3 linked regions of the Caenorhabditis elegans genome follow. The protein of the gene in region 1 purifies or fractionates together with the protein of each later gene. This does not show direct contact. Each region holds a gene or a part of one and is shown in the gene's direction. Other genes may lie near its edges.

Region 1 (4,713 bases):
TGAAAATTGGCATATTTTTTCTTGTGGTTTATAATTTGAAAATATCGCCAGAAAATCGACTTTTTGATGGAAATTGGTGAAAATTGCACTCAAAAAATGAAAATTCGTCGATTTTTGATTGATAAATCTAATTTTTATATTAATTTTTTCGATTTTAAAGTGACAATCACGTTTTTAAAGCAAAAAATTCGAGATTTCTGGCAAAAAAAAGGGTTTTTCATGCTAAAATCGACGTAAAAATCGTTTAAAAGCGCATTTTTCCTTGAAAGTACGAAAAAAATCGGTGTTTTTTTTTTTGGGATTTTCCATTAAAAATTGAGTTTTTCTTGATTTTGCCCGTCAATTTATCAATTTTCCGCCAAAAATCACCAGATATTCGACTAGAATACCTCTCGTCTCACAAAACACGAGTTTTTAGTGGAAAATTGAAAAATATCGCCAGAAAATCGACTTTTCGATAATTTTATAGACATTTTCATGAAAAAACACTAAAATCTCGTGTTTTGTGATACGAGAGGTTTTCTAGTCGAATATCTGGAAAAAATTGGGGATTTTTGGCGGAAAATTGATAAATTGACCGGTAAAATCAAGAAAAACTCAATTTTTAATGGGAAATCCCAAAAAAAACCGATTTTTTTCGTACTTTCGAGGAAAAATGCGCTTTTAAACGATTTTTACGTCGATTTTAGCGATTTTCTGTTAATTTTCGAAATATTTTTGCCGAAAGTCATGAAAAACCCTTTTTTTGCCAGAAATCTCGAATTTTTTGCTTTAAAAACGTGATTGCCACTTCAAAATCGAAAAAATTAAGATAAAAATTAGATTTATCAATCAAAAATCGACGAATTTTCATTTTTTGAGTGCAATTTTCACCAATTTCCATCAAAAAGTCGATTTTCTGGCGGTATTTTCAAATTAAACCACAAAAAAAAATATGCCAATTTTCAACCAAAAACACTAAAAACTAGCTTTTTGAGTCGAAAAACTCTGAAATTAGACAAAAAAAAGAATATCGCCAAAATCGACGTAAAGATCGTTTAAAATCTCATTTTTCCTTGAAAGTACGAAAAAAATCGGTTTTTTTTTGGGATTTTCCATAAAAAATTGAATTTTTCACGATTTCAACCGAGACAATTTATCAATTTTCAAAATCCCCAATTTTTTCCAGATATTCGACTAGAAAACCACCCTCGTATCACAAAACACGAGTTTTTAGTGGAAAATTGGAAAATATCGCCAGAAAATCGATTTTTCGATAATTTTATAGACATTTTCATGAAAAATCGACGTAAAAATCGTTTAAAATCTCATTTTTCGCTCGAAAGTTTGCAGAAAATGCGATTTTTTTTTTGAGATTTTCCATAAAAAATTGAATTTTTCACGATTTCAACCGAGGCAATTTATCGATTTTCCGCCAAAAACCCCCCATTTTTTCAGATATTCCGATTTTGAAGAAAAAAAACACGTTTTCAAAGCAAAATCATCGAGATTTCTGGCATAAAAATGGGATTTTCATGACTTTCCGCAAAAATCCAACTCGAAAATTAACAGAAAATCGTCGTTTAAAAGCGCTTTTTTTTTTTGGGATTTTCCACATAAAAAATTGTGTTTTTCTTGATTTTGCCCGTCAATTTATCGATTTTCCGCCTCAAAAATCCCCCATTTTTTTCAGATATTCGACTAGAAAACCCCCTTCCTCGTATCTAGAATATCGCTAGAATTAACGGATTGATCAAAAAATCGCCAAAAACCCGCCGAAAATGGGTGTCCCCAAGTTCTACCGATGGACATCGGAGCGATATCCGTGTCTGAGTGAAGTGATCAACGAATCGCAAATTCCGGAATTCGACAATTTGTATTTGGATATGAATGGAATTATTCATAATTGCTCGCATCCGAATGACGATGACGTCACGTTTCGAATTACGGAAGACGAGATTTTCGTGAATATTTTCGCGTATATTGAGGTAAAGAGCCGCCGAAAAAATTTGCCCAAAAACGGAGAAATTTGCAAAAAAACCGGCGAAAATTAGTTCAAAAACGGGGAATTTCACAAAAAAAGAGCGAAAATTAGGCTAAAAACGGCGAAAATTGCCAAAAAATGGAGGAATTTGCAAACAAAACGAGGAATTTCACAAAAAAAAAAGAGCGAAATTTGCAAAAAAAAACGGCGAAAATTAGTTCAAAAACGGGGAATTTCACAAAAAAGAGCGAAATTTGCAAAAAAAAAACCGGCGAAAATTAGGCTAAAAACGGCGAAAATTAGCCCAAAACCGGCGAAAATTAGCTCAAAAACAAGGAATTTCACAAAAAAACAGCGAAAATTAGTTCAAAAACAGGGAATTTCACAAAAAACGGAGAAAATTAACCCTAAAAACGGAACATTTTGAAAAAAAAACATCAAATTTCTGTCAAAAACCCGCCAAAAATTGGATTTTTTGAGCTTATTTACGTCTGAAAATGGAAGAATCGGCCTTCTGGATCTCGGCCACGGCCATGTGTCGATTTACACGGCTCGTGTACTCCCCGAGGACAAGATTTTACAGTTTTTTACTAAAATCCCTGATTTCGGGCAGTTTTTGCCTATTTTTTTTTTTTGGATTTTATATTAAAATTTGCCGCCGAAAATCGATAGTTTTACTGTTGAAAAAGTAGAAATTTGGCGGTTTTCAGATCGATTTTCACCGAAAAAAGGCGATTTTAATGTTGAAAACGATGAAAAAAAATGTCCAAAAACTGCAAAATCACCAAAAAATCGAATTTTGGCGGTTTTTCAGCAGAAAATTGTCTGAAAAATCACGATTTAGTGCGCATTTTTCCCGTTTAAATTGAATTTTTTTTTCAAAAAATTCAAATTTTGCTGTAAAAAATGACAAAATTTGATATTTTTCTCTTTTCAGAATCTCTACAATCTAATTCGCCCGCAAAAGGTGTTCTTCATGGCCGTCGACGGTGTGGCTCCGCGAGCAAAAATGAATCAGCAACGGGCGAGACGATTCATGTATGTGGAAGAGCTGCTTTTAGCAGGAAAAAAGGAAATTTGGTGAAAAATTGGCGATTTTTGACCAAAAAATTGTGCTTTTACATTGGAAAACTACTCATTTTTTTCGTATTTTTCCATTAAAAAAACCAATTTTTTGTATTTTTCACTTTGAAAATTCAATTTTTCGGCTCAAAAACTGCAAAAATGTCCAAAATTTGTGATTTTTCACCTAAAAAAAAAATCCAATTTTTGTTATTTTTCACTGCAAAAAATTCAATTTTTCGGCGCAAAAATGTCAGAAATAACCAAAAATTGTGCTTTTTCATTTGAAAAAAATCCAATTTTTGTTCTTTTTTACTCAAAAAATTCAATTTTTTTCGGCTCAAAAACGTCAGAAAAGCTCAAAAAATCTAGCAAAAATTGCAATTTTTCCAGGTCAGCCCGAACAGCCCATACTCAACTCGCAAAAGCGCTGGAAAATGGCGAAATTATGCCATCTGAAGCTCGATTCGACTCGAATTGTATCACCCCGGGCACATATTTCATGACACGGCTTCATCAGAAGCTTGACGATTGGATTAAAACGAAATCGGCGACCGATTCGCGTTGGCAAGGCCGAAAAATTATTCTCAGCGGTCACAATGTGAGGAAAATGATGGCTCTCTTCAGATTGAGCTCCAGATTTGCTCAAAAATCAATTTTCTTTAAATTTTTCAGGAAAAAATTGATGAAAATTCCAATTTCTGATGAAATTTCTAGGAAAATTTGGATTTTACAGCAAAAAAAAAGTGGTACTTTTTACAATTTTGCTGTGAAAATTGCGATAAAATCCAACAAAATGGCTGAAAAATTTTTTTTGACCAAAAAAATCGAATTTGGAGCTCAGATTTGCTCAAAAGTCAATTTTTTTTCATATTTTTTAGGAAAAAATCGATGAAAAATTGCAATTTTTCAGGAAATTTTGGATTTTAGACCCAAAAATGAAGTGTTTTTTCAACAAAAAAAACCCGATTTTTTTTTATGTTTTAGAGCTAAAAATCAGCATTTTAGTCCAATTTTTTTTATAAAAACGTTAAAATTTGTATATTTTTGCTTTAAAAATTGCGGTGTTTTGGGCCTTTAGGTGAAATTTTGCGAACTTTTTTAGAGAAAAAACTGAATTTTTGCTTTAAAGCGTTTATTTATTCGAATTTTCGAAAAAAAATTTCACAGATTTCAAGCCAATTTTGGCTTAAAATCAAGAAAAAATCACGTTTCTTCGTCTATTTTAATGCTAAAAACCGGGTTTTTGAGTAAAAAAGTGTTAAATTTCAAATTTTTATTATTTAAAAAAGATTCGGAAAGCGAAAAATTGCAATTTTTCTTGAAATTTTTTAGAAAATTCGGATTTTAGGGCGAAAAAAATAGAAATTTGTACGTTTTTGATGTAAAATAGCTGAAATTTGCTCAAAAATCAATTTTTCTCATTTTTTGAAGGAAAAATTAATTCGCTTTTCACTAAATCTGACAGGGAGCCGGAAAATTCGGAAAATTTGGCTCAGAAACTGATTTTTTTGCCGAAAAAACCGCGAAATAAGCGGCTAAAAACGAGAAAAAAAAATGCCAAAACACTCAAATTTTCATCTATTTTGATGAATTTTGTAGCAAATTTCATGGAAAATGATCTAGAAATTCGGCAGAAAAAATGCATTAAAATTTGCATTTAAAAAAAATTTGTGAAAAGTAATTCG
Region 2 (4,008 bases), on another chromosome or scaffold:
GGAAGGATGGACGATAGACGGGGTGGCAAAATATTCAACCCCATTGTTTGCCCCCGTTTCTGACGAAGAGCCCGTGCACATACATAGGCTCGCACTCTCATTCCGCACATTTTATCTCGTTGAATTCAATTCAATTAGGTCACTTGCTCTAGTTTGCTCTTTCAATCTCTACTCTTTTAACCCGGGTGCTATGATACTTTAAATCAAACTTCCATCACCTTCCATATAGATTAACTCTTCAGATTCCACACTAACATCCTTAAAAATTACAAAAATATTTAAATGCTCCAGAATGACATCCTGGACAATTTTTGAATATTTCATCCTCAGCGTCTGCCATCTCCGCTTAAATAGGAAAAGGCTCACACAATTTGCAAATATATATTTATAAAGGCTCGGTTTATTTGAGATGGCACATTTTTCATTAAGTATTCGTACCAACGGGCACAATTGTGCCCGATTTGTGTCTAGAAAAACTAGGAAAATCGTGGGAAAATGACAGTTTGTTTGCCAGAAAACTCTTCAGTCTTCTATATAATCGTAGTTGTGGTAGTTCCAAAACTTGTGTTTTCATATATTTTAACTCGTATTTTAACTGCTGCAAGATTTCTAAATTAAATTATATTAAACCGAGAAATTTCGAAGCTCAGAAACTATGATTACTTGAGGCAGATATGTCTCAATTGTTCCAATGTTTTTAACTAGACTCAGGCCAACACAAAGACCAAGTGCAACATATCAAAATTACACATTTGATGTCCAATGCACATGTTTCAAATTTGCTCAGAAACCCTTCACCTTCATCTCCTGCTCCACCACCCACCTCTCTTGTGTCGGCTCTCTCCTATGCTATTATATGTATGTGCTCTGAATCCCTTGCAGAATTCATGTAATACTATGTTTTCCCGTTTCGTCTACTTGCTTCCCTTTTCTTTCGGTGTTGATTTACCTAATTAAATGAGAACCTACGTGCATTTCCTGCTCCGACTCAGAGAGAGAGAGAAATTATTCAATATAGCAATGTAGCAGAGATTTTTATTCTATTTTCAGTTGTTTTCAAGTATTTCCAGCTATCAATCATCACTTTTCTGAAGCAGGTGAATACTGAAAAACAATCCATTCTGCAATCTCGTTATACCTTTTTTGATTCGAACAGCTCCTTCACTCGTGATATTATGAGGACGCAGAAACATGATACGCTCCGCCCCCAAACCATGGGTCTCGTTAGGTATTTGACGGAAAAACCTTCAATCGAAACGTTTTAATAGTGTTTTTCGTTTTTTTATTATGTTGTTTTTAAAGATTTTGATGCTGAAATTCTGACATGAATTTTTAGTCAAATGAAACAACATTAATTTCTTAAACAAGAAATCTTTAAAATCAACTTAAAACATAACAAAAATTTTTTAATATGAAACTAATTGAAAAACGTCTGAATTAATGAGTTCTGCCGCCAACTTCCTACCGAGACCCATGGCCCGGAGGCGGCGCGCTTTGCACTTCAATTTGAATAGGTATTTTTTCTGCGTCCCCATAATATACCCTAACCTCAATTCATATGGCTGCTTTTCTTGACCGGAAAATGACGTTTTCTGGTGAATGTGCTCATTTCCTTTTGCTACTTATTTTTCTACTATGAGATCATGATCATATTGCTTTCCCCGTTTCATATTTTCTATATTTATAACGTTTCGTAATTTATAATTTTCTATATTTCAGTGGAAAATATGGGGATAGGAGCAGATGAGAAGAAGCCGTTGCTAGTACAACTCGACGGGCAATATTATGACATTGCTGATTTTGCGCCTAAACATCCGGGAGGTGCCAAGGTAACTTTTTTTCAAGTTTTAGGATATTTTACTAATCTCAAACTTTTTATAGGTTCTGAATCGTTTGGCTGGAGAAGAAATTGGAGAATTTATCAGAGGAGAAAAAAGGATAATGGGTGTACGTCATGAGCACTCGGAAGCCGCTTATAATATGCTCGAGAGATATAATGTGAATGCAATTCAAAAAGTTCGTTCCTTCCATCAAATCTAATTATTAATATTTCTAAAATTCTAGGGTGATCCATTGATTGAGTCTAAATCCGGAATGCTTTTCAAAGTTGGATCTCTTGGCTCTGAATATTGGCATTGGATTCATCAACCATATGATGGAACTTTAAGGTATTGATGATCTCGACTTTTCAATGCAAATTTTCACTTTTTTTCAGACTTTTCGATTCGGATGTGTTGGAAAGCATGACAAGAACAGCTTGGTGGGTGGTCCCTGCTGTTTGGATGCCGATCGTCATTACTTTTTCTATCCTCTCAGTGCTCTCATTTTCAACATCCACCGATGTTTATAACTCGATTCTCCTGTGGTCTGCCTGGTTCGTCATTGGAGTTTTGACATGGACTCTCACTGAATACAGTCTTCATCGATGGGTTTTCCATTGGAAGCCGTCTCCAGATTCGCCGAATCAGATTCTTCTTCATTTCTTGGCTCATGGACTTCACCATAAAACACCGATGGACGGAGACCGCCTTGTGTTCCCTCCGGTTCCAGCTACTTTGATTGTTGGAATTTTCTATTTAATCTACTCCAATACCTTCCAATGGTCAGTATTAAACCTTTCCTGGTTCCCATATTCAGTTAATCGTTTTAGGCCAGTGTTTTGCGCGTTTGGCGCTGGAAAGTTATTTGGATATGTAACCTACGATATGGTACACTATTATTTACATCACGGAAGTCCTCGTCCACGCAGCAATTTACATTTTAGAAAAGTATATCATCATAATCACCACTTCAAAAACTTTGACGTCGGTAAGTTACATTTAACGGGATTTTGTTTAAAAATCAATTTTTAATTTGTTATTTTTAAGTCAAGAACATTAAAAACTGTTTTTTAATTGAGATTTTCTATAATCTGCAAATTGTCGTGAAATATAATGTTCTCTGACGGAAAATTACACAGATTTGCGATGGAGCGCGTTTGCACTTTCATTTTCGCAATCGAAATTTTTCTATCATTTTCCCTATTTCAGGCCTATTTTCATTTTTCAGGCTTCGGAATTTCGACTTCTCTTTGGGATTATGTTTTCCACACACTCGGAATGGGCCCATTATAATAATACATAGATGTTTTTTCGGAAAATTTGTTGTTTATTGAGTGAACTCTGCCTCACGTTTTTTATCTCTAAGTCTCTTGTCCCGATTCACTTTTCTCACGATCCACTATACCCGTTGTACATATATATTTATCGATTTACCTTTTCTTTTCTCGTACGCCAGATTAGTTCAACTTGTTTTCACATTTTATCTATATAGATCAGCTACTCAGCACGTGCCTATTATCCTCACTTCTTACCGGTTTCCATCAAACATTTTGTGATATTCCTTCTTGTTTTGTTTTCTTTCTGTTATGCGTGAAATTTGGAATAATTTTTAAAAATATCTAATGAAATCACCCCTTCATTCTTTCTCGCTAATTCTTTTTTTCGTTGCAATGCGCCGTATTTATTTCATATTTCTCTATAGTTTCAGAAGTTTTAGAAATCATTGATAGTTTCAGAACTCAGTCTACTTTCAACGGACAATGTTCTTGAGATACTTCTTGGACGAGAACCAACAAAGAGTGTACACTTTGAAGAGAACTGCTCCATCTGGAGAGCAAACTCTTACCGCTCATCCAGCTCGCTTTTCGCCGGAAGACAAGAACTCCAAATATCGCATCATCATCAAGAAGCGCTTCGGACTCTTGCCAACCCAGAAGGCAAAGACCGTTTGCTAAAATGCTGGTTTGGGAGTGGCGCCGCATGTTGCGGCAAAAAATCCGCTCTTTCACCCCCAATAAACCTATCAATTATCAACAGGTAATTTACAAATCTCGCATTTTTCCAAACGATATTTTATAATTTCAGGTGTCTCGTCGTCGTATCATCGTCTCTTTTGTTCTTTTCTTCGTTGGATGGAAAGCTTTTGGTTATACTCTCAACGATATGTTCCTTTGGACTGTCGATGAGC
Region 3 (5,917 bases), on another chromosome or scaffold:
TCTATTCAATTAGACCAAGATTTCATTACCGTATCTAGTTATATTTCAAATTATAGACTTTATCTCGTAAAGTTTCTTCAAGTAAGAAAGGATGTGTTGCTTTTTTTTGCATTATATTGTTCTCAGTAATTATTTTTTCATTAATACAACTGAAGCAGTAAAATTTTTTTGGCTGATGAAATTTTCAATACTCTCCATAATATCGAATTGTTTGAATTGCAAATGCATTAGTGAAGGATCGCTTGGTCCATGCGATAAACGACCGGAGAAGTAGATGACCAGGAACGTCATGAGATTCCGAAAATTTGAACTTGAAATCCTTGCCACGTGCATCTACGTGTCCAAAGCGGCGAAGCTGAAAACAGCGTTCAAAAATAACATGGGAGATGACGCAAACTACCACAAATGAGCCCAACTGTCTTTCAGAAAGTTCCGAATAGTAACGGTCAAACCAAGCTGGAAAATTATAAAAATTTTTAAACCTCTGTTCATAATAGATGACCGAGCTTTCTTTTTTTTCTCGCATCTCAAAAAAAAGAACAAATAATTTATTCGTGTTACAAGCTTCAAAGCTCGTATTTTTCGCATTGTTTCCAGGAGCCATTTTTCAACTTAACAAACTTCCACATACATTCCGAATCGAATTTAGCAGAAAAGTATTTTTCAAATTCTGTCATATTTCTTTTCCGGACAGCAGACTGTATTTTCATAAGCATTGTGTCAATTGCTCGGTCTACCGTGATATTTCTTGCAACATAAGCCGTCTATAAAATAACTGGAAAATTTAATAATCGTTTTTTCAAACTCACAGTTTTTTCGATACTTTGGAAAAGAACAATGAAAAACAAGATGGTAAAACCGAATAGACAACCAAACTTCATTGATGTTGAATGAAAAGTTTTAGTCAGAAAACTGTCGGTTTTAGGTGCAGCTTTGATTGAGGCGAACAAAACAAAATTCAAAGGTTTTATTGATATGATAATTTTATTTGTCCGCGATCAGCTAAAGATGTAAATAGTTTTTTCTTGACAATTGACGTAGAAGAAGAGAAAAATATGAAGAAACTGAAAGATGCGAACAAATACTTTAATAATTCTGGGCAAAACTTGGAAATTTTATGAAACTTTAAAAAAATAATATTTGTGCATTGATACCTTTCGCTGAAACACTAGTGTTTGAAAAAATCAGATAAAAGTTTGGCAAATTATATTCTCATGCTCGTCTGTTTTTTTCAAAATGTAATTTTGAAAGTAAATCTTGGGGAACAAAACATTATCCTTTTCAGCTGGTACAGTTTTTTGTAGGAATTACAGTTTTCTTCTCCTGAAAACTAAAACGATATTAAAAATTTTATAAACACTTTTTTCGAGTACAAATAGGTTTTAGTTACATGTTTGATAAACTTTCATAAATTAACTCGCGAAATCATAATGTTGTTTGTTTGAAATCTAGGCCAATACCAAAACCAAAATTGGCATGAGACAAGTTTTCAATTAGAACACTTTTTTCTATACTATCATCAAATGTTCCTCAAGTTTTAATGCCCGTTAGGTTGCACTTTTATTTTGTCTTTGCCTCCTCACAAGTTTTTCTTGTTAATGAGTAGTTGTGAACATACTCATCAAGTATCGGTTGCCATGGAAAAATAACTCACACATTTCAGAGTCTTTCTCGAGATACAACTTTCATTTTATTTATTTTCTACCAAATGAACAAGCTTATCACTGTCATCCGAGATTTCTCATATAGTGTTTATAATTGGTGCTACGAAACTGTAATAGGGTAATTTTCATTTTCATGATCTTCTGAAACGTTACAAAAAAAAGTTTCTTTAATTTTCTTACTGTAGCAGGTTCCAAAAAACTTTAAAAAATTTAAGTAATAAACTGAATAGTTTTTCTATTAACAGGTATGTCCATTATACTTGATAGTATGAATGAAAGTTTGTAATATTTTTCTCGTCAGTATACTCCATCAAGTGTAGTTGTCGCTACTGCGAACGAGTTTTTTAAAATTTTAAAAGAACTGCCTTATCGATAAAGTCATAAAATAATTATATTTTTGAGGAGTTTAATAAACAAAACGTTTTTGTTCCCTTTGAAAGTCATTTAATATTTCAGGGAAAATACTCGGAAGTACAAGATGACATGGAAAGTTCCAAAGGAATCTTTGAAAATTATTGTTAACAAGAATGCAGATGCGGTAATAAAATTCAAATTACCAGTAAATGCGTCTTTAAATTTAGAGAATGCAACGTGAACTTGAAAATAGAACAGCAAAAGATGAAGCAAATGCTTTAACATCACGACGAAGGGTATTTGGCTCATATGCTCTAATTGGCACCCAAAGAGCAGAGTTTATTCAGTTTCGACAAATTAAACATATCGATATCACTAATGCTTCTTTAGACTTTTTGTATAACTTAAAGCAACTGAAACATGACAATCTGGCAAACTTCTATGGTATTCAATTGAATGATGATCTCAACACAATGACAATTTTACACGCATTAGTGGAACGAGGAACACTGGAGGTACAAGACTTACATTTCTCAGTAATTAGAAAATCAGGCTAATTCAAGGAATTTTGTTTGGATCGAGATTTCGGTATGGATGAAACGTTCAAATCCGCATTTATGAGAGATATTTTGAAGGTAACATTTTGCGTTATTCATTAGACTCCATGAACAACTGAAGATTAAAAAAAATAATTCTATAATAAAAATCACAAATCGATTGTTAATTCAAGGGTCTTCAATATCTTCACCTATCTCCTGTTGCGTATCACGGTCATCTTCACGCAGCCACTTGCCTAATAGATATAAATTGGGTACTGAAAATTGCATTATATGGGGTCACAAACTTTGTGTGTGATAACTTCGACGCAGAAAATATAACGATGCCAGATAGAAGTGACTATACTAGTGAGTAATTCAAAACAATGTGCAAAAAAGCCAGACAACAATTTCTAAAATAGCTGATTGCGGGAAAAATTGGAAGCTGACAATAGCCGGAAATCTACAATTATCAATTTCTACACCTATTTGACTTGAATTTTCTTGAAAAATTTGTATCTTTCAATCAGAAACTGTTTTACCTGTTCACGCCGTTACTTCAACCACAACATTTACACTGAAAAACAAAGTATATTTTTATTTTTTGAAAAATAATGTTTAAAAGTTCCGAAAAACAACAATTTTGGCAATTTCCGAATTTGCCGATGACCGAAAATTTTTGGTTGCCACCTACCCCAAGAATATATGCCTTCTTTTCTTATTTTCAGTATCTTACGCGCAGTATGTGTGTTTTCCGCCGGAGCATATTCGAGAATATGATGCTACTGGAAAACTGCCAACCAGATTTGTAAGAGGCAGTAAACAAGGCGATATTTATTGCGTTGGAATGATTTTTTATATGATGATCGAACGTGAAGATCCATATCGACTGATTCACTCAGTTGAGCGACCGGGTTCTGGTAAGTTAGTTGAGAAGTTGCAATGGGTCAAAATGAGTCGACTCGCAAACAAATGAAGACCAAATCAAATGAAACTCAAATGAGGACCGTTAAATATGACAAACTAGGATGTTCTTTGACTTGCCGCAATATAACCTCCTTGCTAATATGCCTAACTCAAAGAGCTTTGTCACCTTTATGCTTGGTCTAGAAAAGCATCAGGGAAATTTATCTTAAGGTCTCATGATGGAAATTCTTGATCACAATCTCATGCCATTCATTTCAAACAATGAAACACAAGAGGACACTCTGCTGGATAAATGTAAAGAATGCTGGAATAGAGATCCGGAAAAGCGACCGACAATTGAAAATCTACGAAACGCAATTGCAATATGTTACGCTGATTCGTATGTTTTTTAAAGAATTACATTTTGTTTTTCAAATAATTATACAGGAAAATTTCCAGAAAAGGAAATTTAATCGATCAAATGATTAGAATGAATGAGAAGTATGCCGATGAGCTCGAAACCCTAGTTGCGGCAAGGTCTGCTGATTTGGCCCTTGCACAGATGCAAACAATGAGATTGCTAAATGAGATGCTGCCAGCGTAAGAACATTATTTTATCACCATTATAGTTTGCTTTTACAACCGACCTCCGGCTGACTGGCTCCACAGCTTTTTCGGAAGTAACTTCACAGTGCTTGTATTCACAAAGAAATCTAGTTTACCCAACAAAACTAGTATTGTCACTGCGACTTTGTTTGATTGTAACTACAATAGTCCAACATAACCGAATATCATTAACATCACTACAAACATTTCAATATTTTTAAAAACTTTCGTAGAAGTAAATTGTAAATTAAAGTTATTGCAGAAAATACAGAAATCGATAAGCAAATAACAAAAATAAAACAGAGACATTCAGTATTATCTCATTATAAGACATAAAATTGTTTTAAAAATTACAGGAGTATTGCAAAAGACTTGAAAAACGGAGTAATCGCTCCCGCTAGAAGTTATGCATCGGCAACGGTTATGTTTGTCCAAATATGTGACTTCATTGTAATTTTGAAGCGACGTCCTCCAAAAGAAGTTGGGATTCCGTAAAGTTGTTAAATAATGTTTATTTTTCTAGGTAATTGGCTTTCTCAATGACATTTTTGATCAGTTTGATACTGTAATCAAAAGGCATGACGCTTATAAGATTAGTTTTCAGTGACATTTCGTTCCCCAATATGTGAATTCAGGTTGAAACTACTGGCGAAACCTACATGGTGGCATCCGGTGTACCCAACGAGAATGAAGGACGGCATGTATTCGAAGTCGCGGAAATGAGTTTGGAAATTCGTGCTATATCGTTGTCATATACACTAGAAAATGACAAAAACTACAAGGTTATTGTCAAGGGAAAATATCTTATAATTGGGTTATACAATGCATTTTTAAAATGAAAACAAGTTTTTACATAATATTTTAAAATTTAGTTGCCCAATATAAGGCAAAGCACTGCGATTAATTATAATTCATTCGTTTCAGCTTCGAGTTCGAATAGGATTCCACGCAGGTCCTATTGCTGCCGGTGTAATCGGAATTAAAAATCCTCGCTACTGTCTTTTTGGTGACACTGTAAATTTCGCGTCCAGAATGCAATCAAACTGTCCTCCCCTGCAAATTCAAACTAGCGAAATTACAGCAAGAATGCTATTGGCCACTCATGAGTATAAACTGGTGAAACGAGGGATAGTTCATGTCAAAGGAAAAGGTATGTCAAACACAATTTTATATAAACTTTTAAATATTTTTGTTTTTCTATGTAGGTGAAGTGAATTGCTACTGGCTTAACGAGCACATACACAAGGACGAAGAAATCGAGGAATCGGGCACAATATCCCATCCCTTAGAGTCGTGAAAATTTTTTAAATCTATTTTTTTAATTCATATACGTTTCTCTAAAAATGAACGTTTAAATAATTTTGCAAAAGCGTTTTCTTACAAAAAAAAAGCCTTTTATGACAACATATCGAAATAACAATAGTTTTTCAAATAAATTCTTTGAATTTTGAAGATCATCCAACTATTTTTCCAAGGTCCACCGATGTTTGTATGCGCAAAAATTTAAAACTAAAAGTAAAAGGTTGAAAACGAAAAGACGGTGACAAGTGGTTAATTATTTGCTCAGAAAAACATAAAAGAGAACTAGAGTTTGTTATAAACGGACACTACAAACTATAAGGCCAGAAGTTGGAGAATTGTAAAAGTTTGAAGTGTGTAAAACTTTAAAAATATGTGAAAACTATAATGTGTTATTTTTCTTCCATATTTTCCTAGTCCAATGTTAAATAAAAAACAATCATTCGGTGCTCTACTAATAAACATTAGCAGAAATCATGATTTTTTTTCTTTTCGAGGCATAGTTAAATCATAGAATAGTAGTTGGTAAACTCAATTAAAACATGGTTTGAT

What was found.
Region 2: the proteins of xrn-1 (region 1) and fath-1 fractionate together in Caenorhabditis elegans (co-fractionation; one large-scale study listed by BioGRID). This does not show direct contact.
Region 3: the proteins of xrn-1 (region 1) and gcy-27 fractionate together in Caenorhabditis elegans (co-fractionation; one large-scale study listed by BioGRID). This does not show direct contact.

What each region holds. Positions count from the first base shown.
Region 1 is NC_003280.10:14,067,237-14,071,949, forward strand, and holds the start of xrn-1 (5'-3' exoribonuclease 1), read left to right. Parts: upstream 1-1,670; 5' UTR 1,671-1,760; coding exon 1,761-1,967; intron 1,968-2,900; coding exon 2,901-3,001; intron 3,002-3,418; coding exon 3,419-3,626; intron 3,627-4,713.
Region 2 is NC_003279.8:10,175,462-10,179,469, forward strand, and holds fath-1 (Fatty acid 2-hydroxylase), read left to right. Parts: upstream 1-1,719; 5' UTR 1,720-1,727; coding exon 1,728-1,829; intron 1,830-1,881; coding exon 1,882-2,016; intron 2,017-2,064; coding exon 2,065-2,168; intron 2,169-2,215; coding exon 2,216-2,602; intron 2,603-2,650; coding exon 2,651-2,808; intron 2,809-3,048; coding exon 3,049-3,113; 3' UTR 3,114-3,454; downstream 3,455-4,008. Other genes in the region: nola-3 (Putative H/ACA ribonucleoprotein complex subunit 3), read left to right, coding at 3,581-3,775; C25A1.16 (uncharacterized protein), read left to right, coding at 3,777-3,857, 3,906-4,008.
Region 3 is NC_003282.8:17,432,423-17,438,339, reverse strand, and holds gcy-27 (Receptor-type guanylate cyclase gcy-27), read left to right. Parts: upstream 1-1,708; coding exon 1,709-1,782; intron 1,783-2,120; coding exon 2,121-2,202; intron 2,203-2,245; coding exon 2,246-2,533; intron 2,534-2,581; coding exon 2,582-2,653; intron 2,654-2,748; coding exon 2,749-2,923; intron 2,924-3,282; coding exon 3,283-3,474; intron 3,475-3,691; coding exon 3,692-3,860; intron 3,861-3,919; coding exon 3,920-4,060; intron 4,061-4,422; coding exon 4,423-4,546; intron 4,547-4,589; coding exon 4,590-4,658; intron 4,659-4,701; coding exon 4,702-4,848; intron 4,849-4,990; coding exon 4,991-5,216; intron 5,217-5,271; coding exon 5,272-5,363; downstream 5,364-5,917. Other genes in the region: C06A12.8 (RxLR effector protein), read right to left, coding at 185-355, 401-456, 632-764, 810-881. UniProt on the Caenorhabditis elegans protein: Guanylate cyclase involved in the production of the second messenger cGMP. May be involved in sensitivity to quinine by regulating egl-4 activity through the production of cGMP.